Drosophila melanogaster: one gene and its partners. The protein of the gene in region 3 interacts with the protein of the main gene of each other region in a pairwise test. Each region holds a gene or a part of one and is shown on either strand. Other genes may lie near its edges.

Region 1 (4,492 bases), on a different chromosome or scaffold from region 3:
AGTGCAGCGCAAAAAAAGCTCTCAGCTGAGGCAACAGGTGCCAAAGGCCCGGCTGCGACTTCCGTTTGTTATCAGGCCGAGAGAGCGAGCTTTCCGGCTAATCCGCATAGAACTCCGGACGACAGTGAAGTAAGTCAGTGGAACGGAGAGGCGCTGGACGCCCAGACACCTATATATAAATTAATTGCCGCACAGAATATTCGTGGCAGTTTCGTTTAAGCTTGAGCCGTGCTTAACGGGTTTTTTTTCGGGGCTAAGAACACTGGTTGTGCACACAGAAAATGTTGAAAATCGTATTCGTAGTCGCGGTTCTGTCGCTAGTGAAGTGTGCACAATCCCAAATTGCTTGTGAGTTGATTGAACAAATGTGACGAAAAGAGTAATAAGTCAAATATAATATGAAAAATAAAATAATTATAGTTCCTAAATTAGGATTCCTGGGAACTACCTTTTAACTTTTAACTTGTGTTTAATATTCCATTCATTTTTGCAGTCCTTAATATTTTAGGTTAGTTTATATCAATTAAGAAAGCATGATCTTTTAGCATTGTGGATTTATATGCTAAATTCACTGGATAAATCTAACATCTAATGTTCCAATTGCAACAGTTTATGCTTCCCTATTTGATAAGAACTCAACCTACAAATATTTCAAGATTCTATCAAAACTTGTATAATCATAAAACGTGCATAAGGAAAAGTTTACTAGATTATGAGAAATATAAATAAATGCGTTCTGCTTATATTAACTAATTATTTTCAACACTCCTTATCATGAACTCACGCAAATTGAAATTCCTCTGACTCCCATGACAGTTAGCAACCAGCCATGCTCGGTTCGAAATCCAAAAATCGTGGGAGGTAGTGAGGCGGAGCGCAACGAAATGCCCTACATGGTCAGTCTGATGCGTCGTGGTGGTCACTTTTGTGGCGGCACTATCATCTCGGAGCGATGGATCCTCACGGCGGGACATTGCATCTGCAATGGGCTGCAGCAGTTCATGAAACCAGCTCAAATCCAAGGAGTTGTGGGTTTGCATAGCATCAGGGAGTACCTCAACGGGATTGGCAACGGTCCGGATGCACTGAGGGTGGACTTCAAGAACATTGTGCCCCATCCGCAATACGACTGCAACGATGTGAAACACGATATAGGTATGTGTGTTTTTTAAGGGGTAATTGCAGGTTCAATTATTTTCCATATGTACAGAACTGAATCATAAATCAACAATATGACATTAACATGACATTATTTTTCAGTAAAATGAATAAAAAATTTTAATCTAGTAAAACACCATTAAAAATATGCGCTTAGGTTTTAAAAAAACAAACAGAAATACATAGGTAGGAAATAGTTTCAACAAAGGATATTAACATTAACCATAATGAATCAGAGACGAATCAAATAATACTTATTATTCTTAGTATTCCTTAAGCTATTGCAAATTGGTATTTTATTCTTTTACAGCCCTCCTGGAGCTGGTACAGCCAATCCGATTCTCTTCACACATCCAGCCCAGCTGCGTGGGATCCGAGGAGGGGCACCGAAGTCTGGAGCAGGAGTACGGAACAGTTTCCGGTTGGGGCTGGACGCACGAGAACCAAGCGGAAAACGATCGATCCGATGTACTGCGCAAGGCTACCGTTAAGATCTGGAACAACGAGGCGTGCGAGAGGTCCTACCGATCCTTGGGCAAGAGCAATACCATTGGAGAGACACAGTTGTGTGCCGGTTATGAAAACGGTCAAATCGACTCGTGTTGGGTGAGTATTCACTTGGCTGATACGGCACACATGTTATGCTCCGGGTTTACTTACCTTCACAGGCGGATTCTGGCGGTCCGCTGATGTCCAAGGAGCATCATCTGGTGGGCGTGGTGTCCACGGGGATCGGCTGTGCACGTCCAGGTTTGCCCGGAATCTACACGCGCGTCAGTAAATACGTGTCCTGGATGCAGAAAGTGATAGACGGCAGGAAATAGTTGGCCAGGAATCTGAAACATAAAGATTGTGATTCACCTGTGATATTAGTCGTACTCGATTATGTGATCTTCTTCAATAAACGTTACTTTAACCAACTAGAAATTCAATTTATTGCGGCCGGTCGTCATTTTTTAAACTTTAATCGATGATTGTGCCAATCGATATCGTTGGACTAATTTGTGGTATTTTGCAGAAAAGATTACTCTGACAATATTAATCGACAAGAATATCGCTAGTGTAGGAGGAACGGAGGAACGATGGAATTTTGAATAATTTATTCTTTCATTATTGAATTCAAAAAAATGCAATAACGTTTAAAAAAATATCTAACTACCTATGTACGACTTAAGTTCATAGGACTCAAGAAAGTATATGAAATATGCACTTGAAAACTTGGCTCCCCACGCTTACTGTCCCACCTGCTGCCCCGCCCGACCGACTGTCACCCGTGGCCCAACGAATGTCTTGACGTCTGCCCCGCCGTTTCCCTAAAGAAATGTCCTTAAAAGTGGTCACGCTCTACGAGTGGAGAAATTCCCGAAAATGTGGGAATAGTTAGTAAGATCTTTATTTTATTTTTTGCAATTCACCTCCAAATAACGAAAAGAAATAAATAAATAAAAAACGTCCCCATGTTTTGATTTCCACCGTTCCGTCATCGCCGCGAACTCATCGACGCTAATTTAACGCACATACAATAATCGCTTTATACTTAGTATTTTAAAAATACTTATAAGTAGCACTTACCGTCCGCGGTATTTTTTGTTTCGCAGCAATTGGTATTCAATTAAATGCCATAAACAAACACAAAAAATGGAAATGGACGCAGACCTAACAAAGTAAATATTTATATTACAATCCGATATATTTTTAATTAATTTGATGCTCTCACGTTAGTCAGGCGATTGCCGAGCTAATGCGCGAGATCGAAGGTGCAAATGCCAGTGTCAGCACCTCGAAACAAAGCGAACGCAAAGTGAATCCTCTGGGCAAACTAAACAAACGCTTCTTAGGCCGCACCATAAACACCGCGATTCGGCATAATGATAGAGAAAAGGAGCGCACACAGGCAAATTGCCGACAGAAGCTGCAGGATCTGGATGATGTGCACGAAAGGAGGAAGTCCAACTACTTTTACAGCCGCGATGCACCCAGAACTCAAAGTGTTGATAGAAGCAGAAGTTCCAGCAGAAGGCGCAGCAGGAGCCGCCACAAAAAGGCCAAGAAGCATCGCAGCCGAAGAAGAACTAGGAGCAGCAGAAGTTCAAGCCGCAGTCGAAGTCGCAGCAGTTCACATCGGCGAAAAAAGCGCAAAAAGAAGGTTAAAAAACACAAAAAATCACACAGAAGACGAAGAAGCAGCCAGAGCAGCAGCGGTTGCGATTGGGAATCCGCACCCAGCGAGTCGTTACGTATACCCCCGCCTTCAGATGTGTTCCTAAACCACTCCAAGCAAATGGCTCTTGCAGTGGCCATGGCCTATGGTCAATTACTAAACCCGAGCAGCCAAAAGAAAGCCAGCGAGTCTAAGGAACACTCCTCCTCTCCTATAAGCGATATATTCCGGGAACTTATGTCCGACGAAGAGGTGGACAAATCCGAGAAGCCCGAGGCCCTGTCCATTTCATCCAGCGACGAAGAGCCAAATGTTCTCACCATTAAAGTAAGCTCGAGCTCCGAGTCCAGCGGCAATAAATCAAGCTCGGACTCAGATTCAGAAGCAAAGAACAGCGTACGCAGCTGTATAACCCTAGAATCTGGTGATAATAGTGATATTGAGATAATTGAGTACCATGAAGAGCCCAAAAAAAAGGCATGTGAAACTGAACCTGCGTCTGAACCTGAATATCCGTCTCAATCGGATAGCACAAATCAACAAGTGGACGATAGCACAGCTGTCACTACAGTGGACCTGACCGAGGATTAATTAGGCTAAACTTTAGTTAGAGAATCGTTATGTAAGATCAGAATGAAATTTTAAAGGAAACAAACTGAAGTTGAACCAAACTAAGAATATTGTTTTTATATTATTATTACAGATATAAGCTCTGCCATAGATAGATTCATATTTGGTTGGTTTTTTTTTAAGTTATGTTTAATAGTAATATACTAAATATACCACCGAATGATACCCTGTTGTGTCTGTTTATAATATCAACTTTGGGTTCATTTTTTTATTTAAATTATAAAATAAAAATGCAAAATTTGAAATGTTAATAATACTTATTAGTTTTAGTAAGTAATAAAAACCACGTGCCAGAGCTCTTGCCATAGTTGATATGCCTCTCGTGTACGGCAACAAACTGTTGCTCTCTCTCTCTCTCTATGACCGATTTTCTCTCAGCACCTGCCCGAACAGCTGATTCTTTATTTACCACTCAATTTTCGATGGAAAACGCCAGCGCGAAGACAATTAGAAATCGCTAAGTTAAATAAATAGAGATCCGTTGTCGCAAGATGTTCGGGAACCTGAAAAAGAAGCTTAGCAGTGCGATCCAGGAGGGCCTGG
Region 2 (6,915 bases), on a different chromosome or scaffold from region 3:
CACCATGAGGAACAGTAAAATCGCTTTGGTTTCAAACACCATTTCTTGTATACGACTTTACATACCAAACTAATTCATAGATATGAAAGCAAGCAATCCGCGATTATACAGGGTGCACCGTGTACACTTCCACATTTTAATCGGTCAATTCAGTTATTTGGCTGTATAATATCGCAGTCAGTGATGATGTCTTGGCTTTTTTCTATTTATATTGAGGTTGAATAAGATAAGCAATAAAATAAATTTTTATATTTACCTATGTATTTAAGTTAAAAGAATACCAAATTTATAAGACATTTATCCATCCATTTTATTCATTTTATATATGGATAATCGCTGTGATCACCGATATTTTTCTATTCCGGTGGAAAACATTTATATTTTCGTTTGCGACCGAGAAATTTCATATGATGATAAAATAAACATTTAAAATGTTGTCTTTCATATGTTTTGGCTTACATAAATTGGACTACTGTGGTATTCTTTGAAAGACGTTTTCAGTGAGAATGCATCGAGTGGAACAGTGTGGGAAAGAAACATCTGGGATGGTCTAAATTATATCAAATTCTTCATCCCATCGGAATGAATGGAAAATGCGATATAAAACTAGATATGCCAAACCAAAAGCAGCTGACGCGTACAGCTGAATCGCCTAAAATAGGCGGGGTGATGGTTAACTCTACAAAGGGCCAAGCCCACGTTGGGTTGAGGTACATACCGAAAAGACTGGTTCAAGTATCAATCATGGGATTAATGCTACTTTGTATTAACCCTGACGTCCCCTCTCTTTCTTTAATGACGTAATAAAATTATGATGTGACTCATAACCAAAAAAAATAAGCTTTTGAAGGTCATGTACTATTTACGTGTACTTTATGTCGATGCTTTCAAACAACCAGATCATCGATTAACGCTTCGAACTATGAAGAAAACGGATGGAAAATATGCTGATTACCATCTATACGTGGTAATAGAGATCCCAAAACAGTAGGGTTCCTCTACAGTATGTCTTTTCTTTAAAACGCAGAGAAAATGAATTTAGACATTATATATAAAAGTATTTAAACAAATTATTTATTCATATATGGTAATTCTTAGTTTAGGTTTTCTTGTAAAATAACAATTTCTTAACTTAACTATGGATTAAAATGTCTAAGAAGTTAAATCAATGGAAATTATACGCCCAGTGCCATTGAAAGGCGGAGCCGCGGAAATCGCATCAAACGTACTACTCTCAGTAGTCTGATTTGTAGTGCTTTTTTTCGAATTAGCCGAATGAGCGTACCAGTCTGTGAGTGCGACCAAGTTCTTAGAAAAATTGCAGTTTTCCTGATTGTATTCCTTTCTGTGTCCCTCAGAATCAGCAAAAGTATTCGATGTACTCAGGGAACCAACCAGTGAATGATTGGCTATCGAGTCTACGGTACAGCGACTAATTACTGAATTAGCCTTATAGTTTGAATAAATATATAAAGATTGCTGTAGGGGCTTAACCGAATTATCAACTATTACTGATTCTGGCTCTGGAGCACATTTACTTGGCTCGACGACGCGGCTACTGTACAAATTTCTGTTGTTATGTGTAAGTTTTATTACAGTCAGTGCATCCGAGCCAAGTCTTTTGGGCGAGCCTATTGCTGGCTCTTGTTGCTCATCGTCGTCCGAGGAGCATAAGTCAATTGTATCAACAACAACTTCCTTTGTGGGTGAAATTCTCCAGTGTGAGTTGAGCGAATTGTGGCGCGTTAGTCTTATATTGAGTTTTGTATTTGCAGTGTGATTTTGCTCTTCCATTACGTGTTCGGATATTTTTTTCAATCTGACTGATATTGGACGGCATTGTTTAATCAGCGGAGAGTTCAAAAACAAAAAGTTCTCAGTAGTGTCCCTGCGTTTAACAAATTGACGCCGCGGAAAGGAATATATGTGATAATTGTGTTCATGTGACTTTTTAAATGTACAATGCACTGTAGTGTTTGTTTTTTTTTCAAAATACTTTTGCTTGGTATTTGATTTATTGATCAATGGAGTGTAACAAAAGCGTTCCAGGCGTTCCTGTCTTTCCGCAATATAATCCATTGATATTGTTTGTTTTGTCGATTTTAACAATTGCTGTCCTGCAGGTGATGATATTGGGATAAACGAACACCTACTAAACGAATGAACTGTTCGATTTCTCCGCGATGGTAAACGCCTCTTTCTGTTTGATGTTTCCGTTGATGTTTCTTCGCTGAATGAATATGTTTTCTGTTTCTCTTTAGATAAACTATTATCGGAGAATTTGGGTTGCAGTTTAAAGTTTAAGAGAAAGGCGTTGCGCTGTTCGATATCTTCGTTTTTCCCATCACTTTTGTTATCTGGCTCAGGGGAATCACAAAGTATAACGTCATCCTCCATGCAACAAATGTTTTCGTGTTCCTGTTATGCAATAGAGTTATTAACTATTAACTTTGACAATCTTTGGCAATCAACTTACGAGTATAGCTTCTTTAGAATAAAGTTCGGCATCACAGTTGTCACATAGGTAGATATCAAAAGGTGGTGGCTCAACCATCATATGCTGTACGTTTTCGCTAATGGAACTGTTGTTCTTTTGCAGCAACAAGCACTTTCTGTTCTTTTGTTGTCTATCATATGACTGCAAAATAACCAATTCAGAATTAACTAATTTTAAAACCCAATTATTCAAAGTAGGCTTGGCTTACCATGTTTTCATTTCGAAATGTAACCAACAGTTTGTTGTTTCTCCTGTCATACAATGAAGTTGTTGAGTTATAATTGTTTATGAATCTTAAGCTCGCGTGTTCATACGCAGCTAAATCATTACAAAATCTTAATAGAAATAAGCTTTTGTGAAATTGATAGCATATAACCACAATTTCTTTCATTTTTTCCATCCAATTCTGTAAAATAGATACAGGTATATATTAGCCATTTATGGGGGTGAATGTTAAATATAAGCCATAGAAATCAAAAGGTAAGGGAAAAAAGCTTACCCCAACAAATGCTTTCGGCTTTTTGAGCGGAATCTCGAAAGGAGCGCTTTCGGGCCACCATTCTGGTTCACTGCAATCTATTTTCTTTGGTAAGTTTATGTGTCCTAAAGAGCATTGCACCATGAAGGGAATAAAATTTTCTAACTGGGACTCCGTAATTTTTTCTAGGGATGTTGGATATCCGTTCGCAAACAAAAGTGGTAGGTTGGATATCATGTTGTGTTGAGCTTTATCTTTTTCATCCATTGTCACTGCAAGTGAATTAAAATGTTATATTTTATTGCCATGTTATCGATAGTTTTCCAAGATAACCGATTAAAACGATTACATATGTATAACATATCTACTTAAAAATTTAAAACTACTAAACTTTCCTAAAACCAAACCAAACAAACGATTTCAAATATTTATTAGCAGTTGTGATAAGTAAGGGGCGCAGTATATGGATCTAGCTGTGTCCGTATGTCTGTCCGTCCTCATGAACGTCGAGATCAATAGAGAATACTGAGGGTGATGAGTAAACTCAATTAGGTACCGTGTAATAGTTGTTCTATAGTCCTTGAAAAGTATATAATGATCATCTGCCTGTCCGTCCTGATGAAGGCCAGTTACTCGTAAAAATATGAAACTAACAAGTCTTTACAGCCTTGATCCGGATTACTAGCCATGTCGATACAGCCATAACTGACTGTAAGTCCGTATTTGTTCGTATAATCGTAAAGCCCTCAGGTACTATTAAAGCTACCCTGGAATTGAATTGCCACGTACATTGTGACACCTAGGGATCAAGGTCTAGAATACATAACTGTTTACGTCCTTTTTGTTCTAGAAATCTCTAGTTTAGTGACCGCAAACATTACTTTTTTGCAGGACCATTTTATGAACGGTCACATTAAAAAATGGCGAGTGATAACCACAAAATGGCGAAGATACAGACTGTCAAGTCCGTGGGGACAATCGATAAAGGTATCGATGATTTTTTTTTGCAAAATTACAATCCTTGAAATGTACCTTTATTAGGTACTATATATCGTATACACATTGTACCAATAAAGTACAGCAATATGATTAAACTTTTTTTTTTATAAAATACTTGTTTTGCCAAAGGCGTTGCCACTTTGGTTTAGAACCAAAGCTAGTGGTTACGCCTAGCGATTTCATGAAATTGACATGAAGTGGAATGTTCCCACTTACAGGTTTGTGCGATATCGCTTCGCGAATGCTAACTATGCAGTTTATACGAGTTATATATTCTTGTGGCGAGCCACGACCAGCGTTTCACTTTTGCAAAAGGGGCAGCTCATAAACCTTGCGTCTAACTGCAGATTTCCTTACTGAAAAACCACGAATTGCTCTCATATGTGTACATGCACACACACGCACACACACACGAAAAACACACATATGTATTCCAAGGGAAGTGGAATAAGTTTGCAAATAAAATTTTTACTGCATAACTTGGGACATTTTTATACGTAAACACACTCACACAAGCACTTCTAGATAATTATACATAAACACAAATATTCATATGTTAAATGGAGTCATCACAATTATGCTGTGGTATAAATATCCCACCTGATTTAGACGAGTGTATGTAATACACTCAACGAAAATTACTATGTTCAGCATCATTTGAAATATAATTTGAATAGTACACACTTATACGTTAAACTGGTTGATAACGAACATTTCGACACCGATTTTGTATGGCAATACATTAAACTCAGTGCTCTGGAATGCTCAGTGCTCTCTGCATATACATATCACTGAGTGAATCCATTAGAAAGGAGTCTCAAAAACCGATCAAAATAGAATCACCATCAGTACGCACCAAGAATTCGCAATGATTAACAAAACGGTAGACACCGAGATCTACAATCACAAATATGATAACATAGTTACAGTACACAACACTTTCTTCGTAAAAAAACCATTTGTTGTAGTTGCTATCGAATAGTCGAAGTGAGAACTGACTGCTAAATGGCTGAAATAATTGTGACAAATACTACCCAGTCTTCAAATTGAAACGCGGAAATGGAACAAAATGTGATGTTGCACTTTTACTTTGCTCTTAAAAAAGTTTTTTACTGTAAATAAAATACATGTACTGGAATTTTTGTGTAAAATCGACATCGAATTAATTCGATTCCATCAAACACAGCTGACGCAAACATCTGTTAATCTCTTATACAAAGTAAAGGAGAGTTGTATACCTTTAAAAAACTTTAAAACATTTTTTTTATTATGGTATCTTTTTCTAGCTTTTTAGTAGCACACAAGGACGAGGTCCGTGATATAAAAATTTTGTTAAAGAGAAGAAGAAGCATTAAATAGTTAAGTGGAAGATAATATATAAAAAAAGTATCCCTCTGTATCCCTCTTTCATCAAACCTCTTCACGCAACGACGACAATTGTGGTGAACATTTCGTTGCAACCCATCACAAGCAATAAATCAACTGATGACAAGTATACACACATGTTGATCCGCAGGCCTGTGCAAAAGTTCGTCAAACATCGATGAGGTGCCACGTGGAACTTACATTTTGCTACGTTGAGATCAAACTTTTTTTTTATTTCTTTCCGGGCACTAATAAGTGTTTCAATTTATGGACGTTTTGTAAAAATTGCAATAAATTTGTTTATTTACTCGCACATCAAAAAGCAGTTCGTATGAGAATGAGAACGTGTTAAAAATTTGGTTGAAATAAAAATGTCGTGTTTCATTTCCATCGTTTCAGTAGCAATAAAAAACGAATCCGATGGCGTAGATATCGATATACCTGCATTCCCTTTCAAACGTGTTATCGTATTGTTCAGCCAATTGTGCAACGTGTTTGAGTAAATCTGCGGGCGAAAGACTAAAAATGAAAGTAGAGGCATTGGACAAATTCTGGGCTGACAAGAGCCGCTACGATCTTGCCGAGAAGCGATTCTACGAGGGTCCCCAGAAGGTAAAATCTCTAAGCAATCACAGCCATAAGTACTTAAGTTGTTAGCCAGTTTCACGTGGCCGGTAAATCAGTTCAAATGGTTTCGGCAATGTTTATTGCAAATCTGTTTGTTTTAACAGCAAGGACGCCGAAACACACATGTTCTAAACTTCAATACATACGTAGAATGATCTATTAAAAGATTTCTATATTTATCTGCCTTTGATTTTCAATTGCTGTGTTCATATTGCACATTACATTGGTATATTCTTGTAGCTGTATGTAACAGGTGAACGTTTAACACTTTTAAAAAATATAACTATGTGCGTAAAGTGTATACAAAACAGAGTGTGAGAGAAAACTAACTCTGGCAAGCCAAATTTTGAATACACTTTCCGTTTGGCAATTGGTATAAATACAAAATATAGTATGCAAAACATAAGTACTTAACATGACACCTACACAACAAAATTCGTTTATTCAATGGAAATGTGCCAAAAACAAATCGATGTATACAAAGTTAAAACCTATTGAAATTCAGGGAAATACTATAGTTAAGTAAAGGTTTAAACACGTTGTATTCTATCTACACAAATATACTACACAAAATGCATAGCACTGCATTGTATAATATTTAAACTACGTACAATTTTTGGGCTGATTAGAGTGAGGCTTATCAGTATTTCAGCATGCTTGCATGACAACAGACTTGAAGTAGATGCCCGTACATAAAACATCTCATTTTGCTTAAAAATTATTATCCCTAGAATCCTTTGTCAACCATTCGATACACCAAATGTCAGTTCACACAAGTAATCAATGGTGTTGTCTTATTTTTAAAGGTAACTGATCGCAGCCACTACAGCCCATTAGTAAGCGAAATCGCAAAGGCTAGGGAACACATACAGAACTCGCTGGAAAAGGTAACTATTGTGATAAATCTTTGTATTTCAACATTTGATTTGTTCACATTCCTAGGTTTCTT
Region 3 (5,227 bases):
CGCTTGAGTAATTTAGGAGTCACGTTGGTAGATTTTGTTGAGTATTTGCAGGAAGGTCTGGTGAGGCACCCCGCGTGAGGTTTGTTGTATGTGCGTTTTAATCATGTTGTAGGATTCCTCCTCGAAAATGGCATAGGTGGATGGCAGTCCAAGTTCCTTGTACAGTTCTTTCACTCGCTCCACTTTAGCTGGTTCTGCAGGTTAATATTCAAAAGTCAATGTCTAATTGTGCGGGTTTGCTAAGCTAGTTTTACCTTCTTTGCCATAGCAATCGACCATGATTTGCTTTTGCTCGACATTGGCTCGCTGCATTGCCACCACTGCCAGCCACGAGCACTTGTTGTCCTGAATGTCGGTTCCAATTTTACCAGTCACTTCCGGATTACCGAAGCAGTCGAGGAAATCATCTTGAACCTGGAAAAAGTTGCCCATTTCTAGGAGAATGGTCTTCGATTGACGGAAGGCCTCTGCGTCTTTATAGCTAAACAATAGAGCGGAAGATTAATAAGCGGAATCTTATATATGTATGGCCATTACTTACCCAGCCAAGTGCAAAGCAAGTGCGAATGGAAGGTAGAAGGAGTAATAGGCAGTCTTATTTTCGACAATTGCTTTGTAGTTTTCCATTGTGAATTCCGAGACACAGCGGTTCGAGTTCAGTTGGTCCAACGATTGTCCGCAGGTAGTGATGTATGTGATTTCGTGGAAGAGCTCCATTAGGGCGACATAGCAGTCCAAGTGGCTGAAGTGCTTCTTGAGAATGGCATACATGGCGTTTTCAATCATAAGAGCATCGTTAATGGCAGTCAGGCCCACGTTCTCCACCTTGTGCCAGCAGGGTTGGCCGCGTCTGGTGGTGCTGTTGTCCATCACATCGTCTGAGATGATGAAAAAACTTTGGAGCTGAAAAGATGATCGATAACTTTGTATTAGGAAAACTATTTAATGCATAAAACTCCTACCATTTCCACACACCAGCCCAGATACTGGGCGAGCTTTATGTTCTCCGGCGTAAGATCCTGGGTGGGCACTAGATTCTTATACGTGAGCACGGTGAGGATGCCGCGGTTCTTCTTGCCCCTGGGCACATTGTACTGGAGGACTTGGGCGAACCATTTGGCTGCGTCGCTGCAATTGTATGCCTTCGTCACGGTGGTGATGTCACGCACAAGATCTGCACATCGAAATATAATTAGCATTAGTATTTGCATGATAATTGTTACTGGGCATAAATAAACAAATCTCACCTGGGAACACGGCCATAAAGTCGCGACTCTCATCTTTCGACACCGTGACGCGAGCGGCAATGGGAACCGAGTGATTTTGGAGCGTCGATAAGGTTCTGTGGACAAAACAAAAGTCAAGAACAATAGAGCCCATAACTGACACCACCAGGCAGGCACAAATACATACACACACACATGCACGCATCTATGGTCTACGTGACTGCATAAGCGGCTCGATACAAACTTTCTCCCCCACTTGAAATCAAGAAAAAAAGACCCCGAAACTCCTTTTCGAAAATCACGCCCAAAACAGGCCTCCGATACATGCATACCATGCCCATGCCCATACCGGTCGAAATGTAAACAAAACAAACAGGCAAGGCAAAGGTCAAGTGCGAAAACCGGTAGATTGATTACCTGCTAGTCTTCTTCAGCTTCTGTTCGTTGACCAGTTCGGTGGGGAGGCCGCCAATGGTGTCCATGGACTTGATGATGGGCTCTGCGTTGACCTCGTCGCTGGTAGAGATCAGGCGTTGCAGGCGCAGCGGGCTGGCCAGGATCCGCTGCTGCGGCAGGAGCATACGGGCCAGTTTAAACATTTTTATTTAAGATTATCGGCAGGTAACTATCCGCTTCACAAAACGGCAATTCAACTTCGGGTACCAAATTGCCAGTGTGACTGAATCTCGGTTCGCAAAAGAACCCACCTTAAAATTTCAAATAACCATAATACGTTTATAGCAACTATTTTATAGCTGACTTTTATTTTTCGAGAATTTTGTGAAGGTAACTTATAAGTTAAATTTTTAAACATTTTTATTTAGTAAATTCAGGAACAGCAAATGATTTACTTTTGCTGAAATTATTAATTTTATTGCGTGTTAATTAATTAAATGCATTACTATATATAAATCAAAATGCTGACGAATTTAAACATGATGCAAATTGTCGAATATATTTCGATATCAATATCTTCAAATTATATTTGACACTCTGCTGCTACATTTTCGGTCACACTGTTTCGATGTCCCATGAACAGTGTTGGAAATGGCCTGACATACACCAAAGGCAAATTGGCAGCTGAAAACACGAATTAAACTAAAATGATGGATGAGCAGCTAATTGACGAGGTAGCGCAGCACGGAGTGATCTACAACCGGCAGAAGTACTACCTCAACGGCGGCGCCAATGGTGGCAAGTACGAGACGAAGGACGAGGCCTGGCAGCTGATTGCGATGAAGCTGCGCACGGATGGTGAGGAAGACGCGCTCCTCCGGCAGATCCTCTATATAAATGTTGCCCTCCTTTCCAGTGGACACGTGCAAGAAGCGGTGGAAGTACCTACGCGAACGCTACGTGTCGCAGCGGAAGCAGGGCGATCCACCTGTCTACGAACACCTGTCGCGTCCATACCTGGAGAAAATGAAGTTCTTGGACCAGCACATCCAGCCGCGCAAGTCCTACCGCCATGTGCCGAACTTCCTAACATCTCCACAGTCCGCCAACAGCTCCGGCTACAACGAATACCAGGTTGATAAGTCCAATGGCTCCATGAAGAATGTGTCTCAGTTTGGCAGCTCAGGGCAAAGTCATCTTTACCACCAGCCGGATCAGCAACACGCAATGAGTGCTCTGAGTAACGTTGCTGCATCTGCGCTGGAAAACGTCAATGGCCAGGTGAAGATCGAGGCGGACCAGGTGTTCAGGGATTTTGCGGCTGCCGTGGCCTCACAGCAGCTCCAGCACATATCACAGTCACAAATGCAGCAACAGGCGGCGGCCGTTGCAGCTGTAATGGCTGATTCCTCGCAAGGTTATCAGGATCAATACAAGGATGGCTCCGTGGGCATGAACGGGGCCCAGAACAGCGCTGGCAGTCTGACCTCAACATCATCCTCGATGAAATCACCGCTGTCGTCGCCGCTGCAAGGAATTGGGGCAGGATCCCATCATCCTCAGCAGCAGACGCAACAACAACAGCAGCAGCAGCAGCAACAAGCGCAGCAACAGTCGCCGGCATCTGAACAGCAGCTTCCGGTGGTACATTCCTCTTCCAGCGCCACGGGCGCTTCCATCGGCAACAGTTCCACTCTGCAGATGCAACAGTCACATGTCTATAACCCCAAGGGCGATGGTCTAGACTCTTCGTCATCGAGCCATTTCCATATGAAGAAACCCCGTATTCAACTAAATGGCAATGCCCATAACCAGATGACCAGCAATGGTAGTCACTTTGGCAATGACTCGGACGACGAATCCGATGAGAACAGCCATGATCTGATGGAGCCGCAGGCTATGATGCAGCAGGAGAATCACTACAGCAATTCGATGCCCATGCAGCGGGGCAATGGAAATGGGAATAACAGTAGCAGCAATAGCGGGAGCAACAATCCCAGCGGCAATAATAGCCACAACAACCAGCAGCAGCAACAGCACCAGAACATGTTTCCGTCAAACACGGACTTCCTTTTCCAGTTATACCAGCAGTTCCCACATCAGGCCAGCAGTTCGCATCCCGCAAACTTCGGGAAATTCCAGGCGCCGCCCAATCATCCGGGTGTGCAGCGGTTGTCTGAGCATTTGCTGGGAGAATTAGTCACCACGGAACTGCTGAAAATGAACAAGGAACGGAAGAAAAGTGCACAGAAACGGATCCTAGAAATACTATTCTTCGACGATTAAAGGGCTAGCTACTAGGTATTTGTAAATAATGTAATCTATTATCCTTAACTTATGTTATTCGTTAGACGGTTGTCAGATAATAGTAATTGCATCGCTTTGGTCAAATTTCCCACCAATGAGTCATTTGCAAAGCTCTACGTTCTACCGAACACTTTTCAAATGTGCTAGTCAAGACCAGCAATTGGGATTCCATATCTGCATTAATTTATGTTTTTTTATATATGTTTAAGAATATAATGATCGGTTTTAATTTATTTAAATTCTTATTAAAGTGTACTCAATGGAAAAGTGTCTTTCCAATGTGAAAATTTGCAATTTATGTGTATTTGGGCATTTTTGTTAAAAGGGGTCAGGAATGGATGCTACGATGCTTTGTGGTAAGTTTTCTCTGGATGTGATCCATTTTCGCATGCTGATAGTGGAATTTTCGGCACGAAAGTTTACAACCGCATATGCGAAAGTAGTGTAGTCATCATAAAGAAAGTAGTTCCTAATGATATGTAAAGCTTCGTGACCCACTGAGGTCCAATTTCAGTTATGTTCAGTAGCCGTCCTGCTGCTTGATTTATGAGTGGCCTTTGACCAACCCTCCGATTACCCACAAAGCGGGATGCAATTGCAACTACTAAGACCCGCTGGCTACTGTCTGCAACGGAAACTGCCACTGCAACTGGCAATTGGCCTAGCTCGTTAACCCTCGACTGGCCAAGCGGCCATTCAAAGTGCCACTGCAATTGCAATCCTGTACGTTGATTAATGACCGATCAGCTTTGCATTCCTCTGGGCAGAACGAAAGTCTGTGGTGATATGAATATGTTTAGGCTTTATTGCGTTTCATATCTTAGCTGGTAGAGAGAATAATTACTTGCTTGTGTTTTCTGTTGTTAGGCTTAGATAAATAAGATCATAATATTTGGATACTGGTCAGTGGTGCAATTCTTAGGCTACTTAATGGACCACCGAATATTCGAGGGTCCCACGCATTTGGCTAGCGTATGTGTTTACTTGTCGGATTGTCTTTGATTAACTGAAGTTAAAAACCTTTAGCTTATTTACAACTAATCACAGGAGGCTTGGAGTTGCAATCTCAGACCTCCTGATTGTCCTCGGACTCGGCCACCATGGTCAGACTTCGCAGCGATCTGTGAACGAAACAAAACACGACCAAGCGTTAATCAGCTAGCTTAATATTATTATTCCAAATATTTCGTAAGAGAGCCGGCGGAGTGATGAGTTCAGATTCATTTGACTGATATGGTTTGGTTTATCGCCTTCGCAGCCAGCCATCCAGCTTGCCAGCTTATTAGTCGAAATCTGAC
Region 4 (5,567 bases), on a different chromosome or scaffold from region 3:
TGATGTGCATGGCCTTCGCATTGGGTGCCGACAAGATGTGGAAAAATCCCCAAGACCGGCAACGATCGTTTCTGCACCAGGCCGTCATTTCCGGCTCCGTGATGGCCTGCGAGTTTTTGCTACTAAACGGAGCCGCCATCGATGCTGTGGACGAGATGGGCTACAGCGCCCTGCACATATCAACGGCCAAGGGTCACATCGCCCAAGTGTATTTGCTGTTGAAGCATAAAGCTGCATACGACCTCTCCTCCAGTGACGGAAAGAAGGCTCTGGACATTGCAGTGGACCAGGAAAACGCAGACATTGTAACGCTGTGAGTAAGAAAGCAGAGCTTCAATCCGGCAGATACATAACCATTCTTGTTTCAGACTCCGATTGACACAACTGAATGACGAGATTGGACCCAACGACGAGTACAATGGCGAAGATGAGACGTACAAGAACGTAATGAAGGACTTCTCCAAGTTACCAGCCAGCCAGACGCGAGTTCTGCGCCAGCGGCACGACTCAAATACACTCGAATCGCAGCGCAGCTCGCTTACAAACTCCGACTAGCAGTGGCAGAAGGGCCGCAAGAGTTAGGACCTTACTGGATATTATGGAATAATTTGTTCCAATTATTAGGATAGCGTGATATTGGATTGTTATTGGCTTTATAACGCATTAACCAGGAATGTTAAACGGTTTCGACCTCTAAGGATGTCGTTGCGGGCTTGTTTCCCTTGGTAATCTCATTTGAAAAGCGCTTCCGATTATACAAGAAAATATTATTCATTGCATTTGGCATTCGAATGGCAGGCACGATCGTTCGTTTTCTCTTAGGCGCATTTTGAATCCGTTTTTGGCGATTAGCTTAAGTTTAAAGTATTCGTAGAGCAGTTGAGTTTATTAAAAATACGTATATTTGCCTATAAAATTGTACATCGTCTTATGTGGTATTTATTAAACGATATTGTAAAATGTACGTCTAGCTATATGTATCTTGTTACAGAGCTGTTCCAAATGTTCCGATTTGTATTTGTTTGCTAAACTGTTTAATGCTGCATGTTTCTAAATGTTTTAACGCTATCATGTTGATGATTTTTGGTGCCAACTGTTGTGAGCACTCTAGGTTCGCGAATAAAGTTGTAAAATATTCAGATCAATCAAAGTTGGTCTCTTCAGGTGTAAAACATGGTGGTCCAATCTGCGGTGTATTGGTAAAACATGTCCAGGGACTATTCTAGGCCACAGCTTGAAACTCGTTCGTCTCGGATATGTAGTCTGTGAGCTTGTTCTTCACCTTGTGCATTGTGGTTACATGTCTCTGGACCGCACTGCGATCGTTAAACTGACGGCCGCACTGTTTGCAGGAGAACATGACGCCAGCGTGGGTGACCAGATGGCGACTGAGGCCCGAAACATGATTGAAGCTACGATGACACAGATGACACTTGTGCGTCCGAGAGTTGCCCATATGCACGCGGCCAATGTGCTGCTGCAGGTTGGACTTCTGGGCAAAGCAGCTCGAGCATTGGGGGCACTGATGGCGCTTTACTCCCGTATGGGTGTCCATGTGACGCTTGAGCACTTCGCGCTGGGAGAAGGACAGTTCGCACTCGCTGCACTTGAAGGGTTTCAGGCCCGTGTGGATAATCATGTGGCGTTTGAGCGAGCTGGCGCACGACAGTTGCAGTGCGCAGCTGGGACACTTGAGCGTGCCGCCCTTTCCACTTTTCAGTCCCTTAATGTGGGTGTTGTGGTGGCGCGTCAGAAGTTTCTGCGTAGGAAATGCCACCGGGCACAAATGGCACTGGAACGACTTCACCGTGTCCGTAATTCGACCGGTTTTTGGTTGAGGACAACTGGACTCCTGCTTGAACACCAACTCACTCGATCTCTTTCGTTTGAGGGGCGTCTGCTCATCTCTATCGTTCTGTTCTTTTTCCTACAGATAATAAGATCCAAGTTGAATTCGAGTTCAATTTAAAATCACACGGTTAGTTACCACTATAATGACATTTTCATGGAAGCTGAAGACCTGTTGCTCCTGAGATATCTCCTCGCCCAGATTAAACACGACCACGTCTTCGATTTCCTCTGGCTTTTCGCCACTGAACTGAATTTCGCCGTCTTCTTTGACTAAGCAAAGAATTTAATGAAATGAAAATTTTTTCACATTTTTTTTGCCAAATTATACCCACTTACTGTTATAGGAGGTGATTCCGTTGTCCTGGTCAAATTCGGGAGTGGAGTCCTGGTTTTGATCCTCTGAGCTGGCAGAGTTTATGATGTAAATCTCTCCATTGTCTGTGTGCACTACATCTGATCCAACCATGTTGATTTCCCTGAAGTCTTCACCGCTTTCCGCGGGCACTTCCTCGTCCAGTTCGAGGCCATCTATGTTTACATCGCTATTATTTGCGGGGTCGGTATTGCAGCCCAATATGAATTCCTCTTCTTTTGCATCCTTCCTGGCCTCTGTCGCCTTTAGATTGGCGTCGACCAAGCTGGGTCGTCGCTTTGGAAGAGCTTTAGTTTTTGACCTAGAAGGGGAGGCATCTTCCTTGACTTGCGGCTTGGTCTCTGGTTCGGACCCATCCAAAGACTCCCACCGACCGGCCTTTTTCTCGGTAAGATACACCTCCAATTCGCCCAACAGCATGGCCAGCTGCTCTTTTCTTATGTCCTCGCTCACCTCGTTTCGCAGGTCATCTCTAACCTGGCTGCGCACCTCCTCGGCCAGCTCCTTGCGAACCTCACTGCGCACCTCCTCCGCTAGTTCCTTGCGCAGTTCGGTGGTCAGTTTCGCTCGAAGTTCTAGACGAGATTTGACCAGCCGTTTGTGCATTTCCGCCGCCTGTTCTTCCTTAAAATCTTCTCGCCACTTTTCGTCCTCAAGCTTGCGCACTTTGTCCTGCACCTCGATGAAGGCAATAGAGTCCTCGAACTCCAGCTCGTCCTCGTCATAATCGTCCGGATCCTTGGAGAAGACGCGGCTTCGCTTCCCGAGACCCAGAAGTCGGATATGCTTGCGAAGCTTCTTCTCCGCCCATTGGCAGCGCTGCCGGAACAGGAATGACTTCTCCAGCTGATAGCGGCACTCCTGGCAGATCCTCTTCGGCAGAGTATCCGTCGCCTTGGCGTCCAGTGCGACGCAGGCCATCAGGCGCACGGGTATCGAGAGCTGGGTGTCGTCCTCGTCGAAGATCGCGTACGCATCCTGGTGCTCCTTGAGGCAAAGGCGGCACAGGGTCGCCAAATCGGGATACGACGGCTGTGCATCCATGAAGGCGTCTATTTTTGGTAAATCAACGTATTTACTCGGTGGCGTCTCTGCATCGCAAGCAATGTGACCGCAGACAGGTTCGCTAAAAATACCTCCTCTCGAAACGAAAGCAATACAGTCACACTGTTCGTAAATAAACAATTTGATATATACGGCCCATAAACGTATCATAACTTAATTTATTAATGTAAGGTTTAAAGGTATTGATTTTCATACAAATCCAATGCATACCGAATGTGCATATTTAAAGTTTAATAGAATACAATGACAATTAAAATAGGTGATGGCTTAGTCAAATATGCGTGCACAAAAAAAGGTACTATTCTTATAATATAGAGGATTAAACTAAATTCGTTGTTACGTGGCTACGTCACGGTGTTATTTAGCTTATCCGCTCCTCTTAGACGACAGCGCACACAACTTTTGAAATCGGCGTACGAACTGCTGCATTTTGTCTTGAAGGAACTGTGCTTTCGGCACAGGTTATCGGTCGTCTGCTTGGGGCTCATAAAGCGCACTTTCTTTCGACACGGCGATGGGGTTTTTACATCCTCTAAGGCAGTTGTGTTGGCACCCAGAAAGGTGTCCTTGCTATAGTCGTTGCGCAGATGACTCAGCTGCGGGTCGTTCATGTTGATCTCAACCATGGGCACAGCAACTAGTGGCGTTGCAGCTGGCTGTCTGCTGGCTTCTGGTTCATCGTCTATTACATTTGAGAAATATATAAGTCGTGCAATTGCAAAGTAAGTGGGCTGGTCTTACCCAGTAACTCCACCACGCTGTTATCGCTCTGCTCCCTTAGCTCCTGGCCCATGTCTGTTTCGTAGAAGCCAGCGGTCTGTTCGTCAGGCAGCGGACTGCTTAAGTTCATCTTCATCTCATAGGTCGCCTCATTGCGCTTGCGCACAAAGTACCGTTCCAGTTCGACAAACACGTCGTCCAGAACGCTCAGTCGCAACTGCTGCTTGGCTTCGGGTATGATGACCTCTTCGAGTTCCGCCCGCAGCTCCAGCTCGATTTCCGCCCGCACAGCTTGCTTGCAAGTGCTGAGCAGCTCCTTTTTATACGCGTCGATCTCGCTGCTAATGAGCTGGGCGGCCTGCTGGCGCCACTGGGCATTGTTCTCGGCGCAGCCAGTTTGCGTGCATCCTTCCCCGGAGCCCCGCTCCTCCTCCACTTCACTCAGCTGCGACTTGACACCCTGCCGCTGCAACGCCTTGTGGCGCCTCAATTTGCGATCGGCTGCGAGGCAGCGTCGTCGGAAGCAGTGCATCTCCTCCAGTTGCAGCCGACACATGGTGCATATGTGCTGTGGCAGACCGTCGCCGGGCTCGATCTCCAGCGATGTGCAGACCATTATCTGCAGAGCAGTCGATCCATTTGCACCGAAAACGGGGAAATTGGGTTCCTTCGACAAGCACAGGCGACAAACATTCATGTTGAATTTCAAGGCAATTCGGAGCGTGGCAGCCGGACACCTGATTAGGCACGATTCGGAATGATGGACAATCTAGCAATCTTTCCAAGCAACCAGTTTAGAATATGAAACAAAAAAACATTTGAAGACAAATAACTAAAATTGGAAGCGGAGGAATTTCCTACTAGGAAACATCAACAAGTCTAGCCGATTTGTTATCGATATTTTCAGTGTGGCCATGCGGTTGAGAGAATGCATTTTAGTATTTCAAGGCTGGCTGCTCTGCCATTGATGTGCCCGTATTTCAGCAAGGCGCTTGGCGGGAGAATTTCAAATAGTCAAAATTTTACAACGATACTATAGCGCTCATTTGAATAACCTGAAATGCAGCAATAACACACATTCATTTATCAAACAATTTCTTTATATTTCATTAAATATTAAGTATAAATACGCAGTTAACTATTAAGTATTATATACACAATTACAATAAGATATTCAGTCACTATAATGCTTCTTCTATATACAAAGTACGATATATATTATATCAAAGGGCTTGAACTCGCCGCCGCACCTCAATAAATTATGCAATTCAATTCCATGATAATATACAGTAACAGTCGTCTGTGTTCTCCGGGAGTTTGCCGATTGATTTTCTCAGGATGATTTAGGATCTGCGCCGAGGATTGCCTACTTACAGCTAAAATGTTTGCAAAAACAATAAGTCAAGGACATTTAACAGTGTTTTCATTTCGTTTCGCATCGTTTTGATTTCATACTCATTTGCTCTTTGCTTTATCGCTTGGGTGGGGTGTTTTGTGTGTGGGTTTTTGATTTGTGGTGGTAAATAAATAGTATCGATCGATTATTAACGATATTCAA

Evidence for each region.
Region 1: the proteins of CG7745 (region 3) and CG14074 interact in a two-hybrid assay, tested with the Drosophila melanogaster proteins (one large-scale study listed by BioGRID).
Region 2: the proteins of CG7745 (region 3) and ova interact in a two-hybrid assay, tested with the Drosophila melanogaster proteins (one large-scale study listed by BioGRID).
Region 4: the proteins of CG7745 (region 3) and CG31365 interact in a two-hybrid assay, tested with the Drosophila melanogaster proteins (one large-scale study listed by BioGRID).

The regions. Positions count from the first base shown.
Region 1 is NT_037436.4:18,863,440-18,867,931, forward strand, and holds CG14074 (uncharacterized protein), read left to right. Parts: upstream 1-2,785; 5' UTR 2,786-2,822; intron 2,823-2,880; 5' UTR 2,881-2,899; coding exon 2,900-3,910; 3' UTR 3,911-3,992; downstream 3,993-4,492. Other genes in the region: CG6865 (uncharacterized protein), read left to right, coding at 282-348, 817-1,155, 1,469-1,764, 1,827-1,982; Dysb (dysbindin), read left to right, coding at 4,441-4,492.
Region 2 is NT_033779.5:10,226,709-10,233,623, forward strand, and holds ova (ovaries absent), read right to left. Parts: upstream 4,985-6,915; 5' UTR 4,575-4,984; intron 3,248-4,574; 5' UTR 3,243-3,247; coding exon 2,997-3,242; intron 2,904-2,996; coding exon 2,706-2,903; intron 2,639-2,705; coding exon 2,477-2,638; intron 2,419-2,476; coding exon 1,153-2,418; 3' UTR 1,052-1,152; downstream 1-1,051. Other genes in the region: eEF1delta (eukaryotic translation elongation factor 1 delta), read left to right, coding at 5,865-5,951, 6,773-6,853.
Region 3 is NT_033778.4:11,305,618-11,310,844, forward strand, and holds CG7745 (uncharacterized protein), read left to right. Parts: upstream 1-2,261; 5' UTR 2,262-2,329; coding exon 2,330-2,480; intron 2,481-2,538; coding exon 2,539-3,908; 3' UTR 3,909-4,212; downstream 4,213-5,227. Other genes in the region: Fpps (farnesyl pyrophosphate synthase), read right to left, coding at 13-194, 255-481, 542-903, 963-1,174, 1,248-1,342, 1,644-1,825; nompA (no mechanoreceptor potential A), read right to left, coding at 5,034-5,050.
Region 4 is NT_033777.3:23,123,075-23,128,641, forward strand, and holds CG31365 (uncharacterized protein), read right to left. Parts: upstream 3,349-5,567; 5' UTR 3,269-3,348; coding exon 2,188-3,268; intron 2,122-2,187; coding exon 1,988-2,121; intron 1,928-1,987; coding exon 1,223-1,927; 3' UTR 888-1,222; downstream 1-887. Other genes in the region: CenB1A (centaurin beta 1A), read left to right, coding at 1-313, 369-555; CG31457 (uncharacterized protein), read right to left, coding at 3,634-3,971, 4,031-4,706.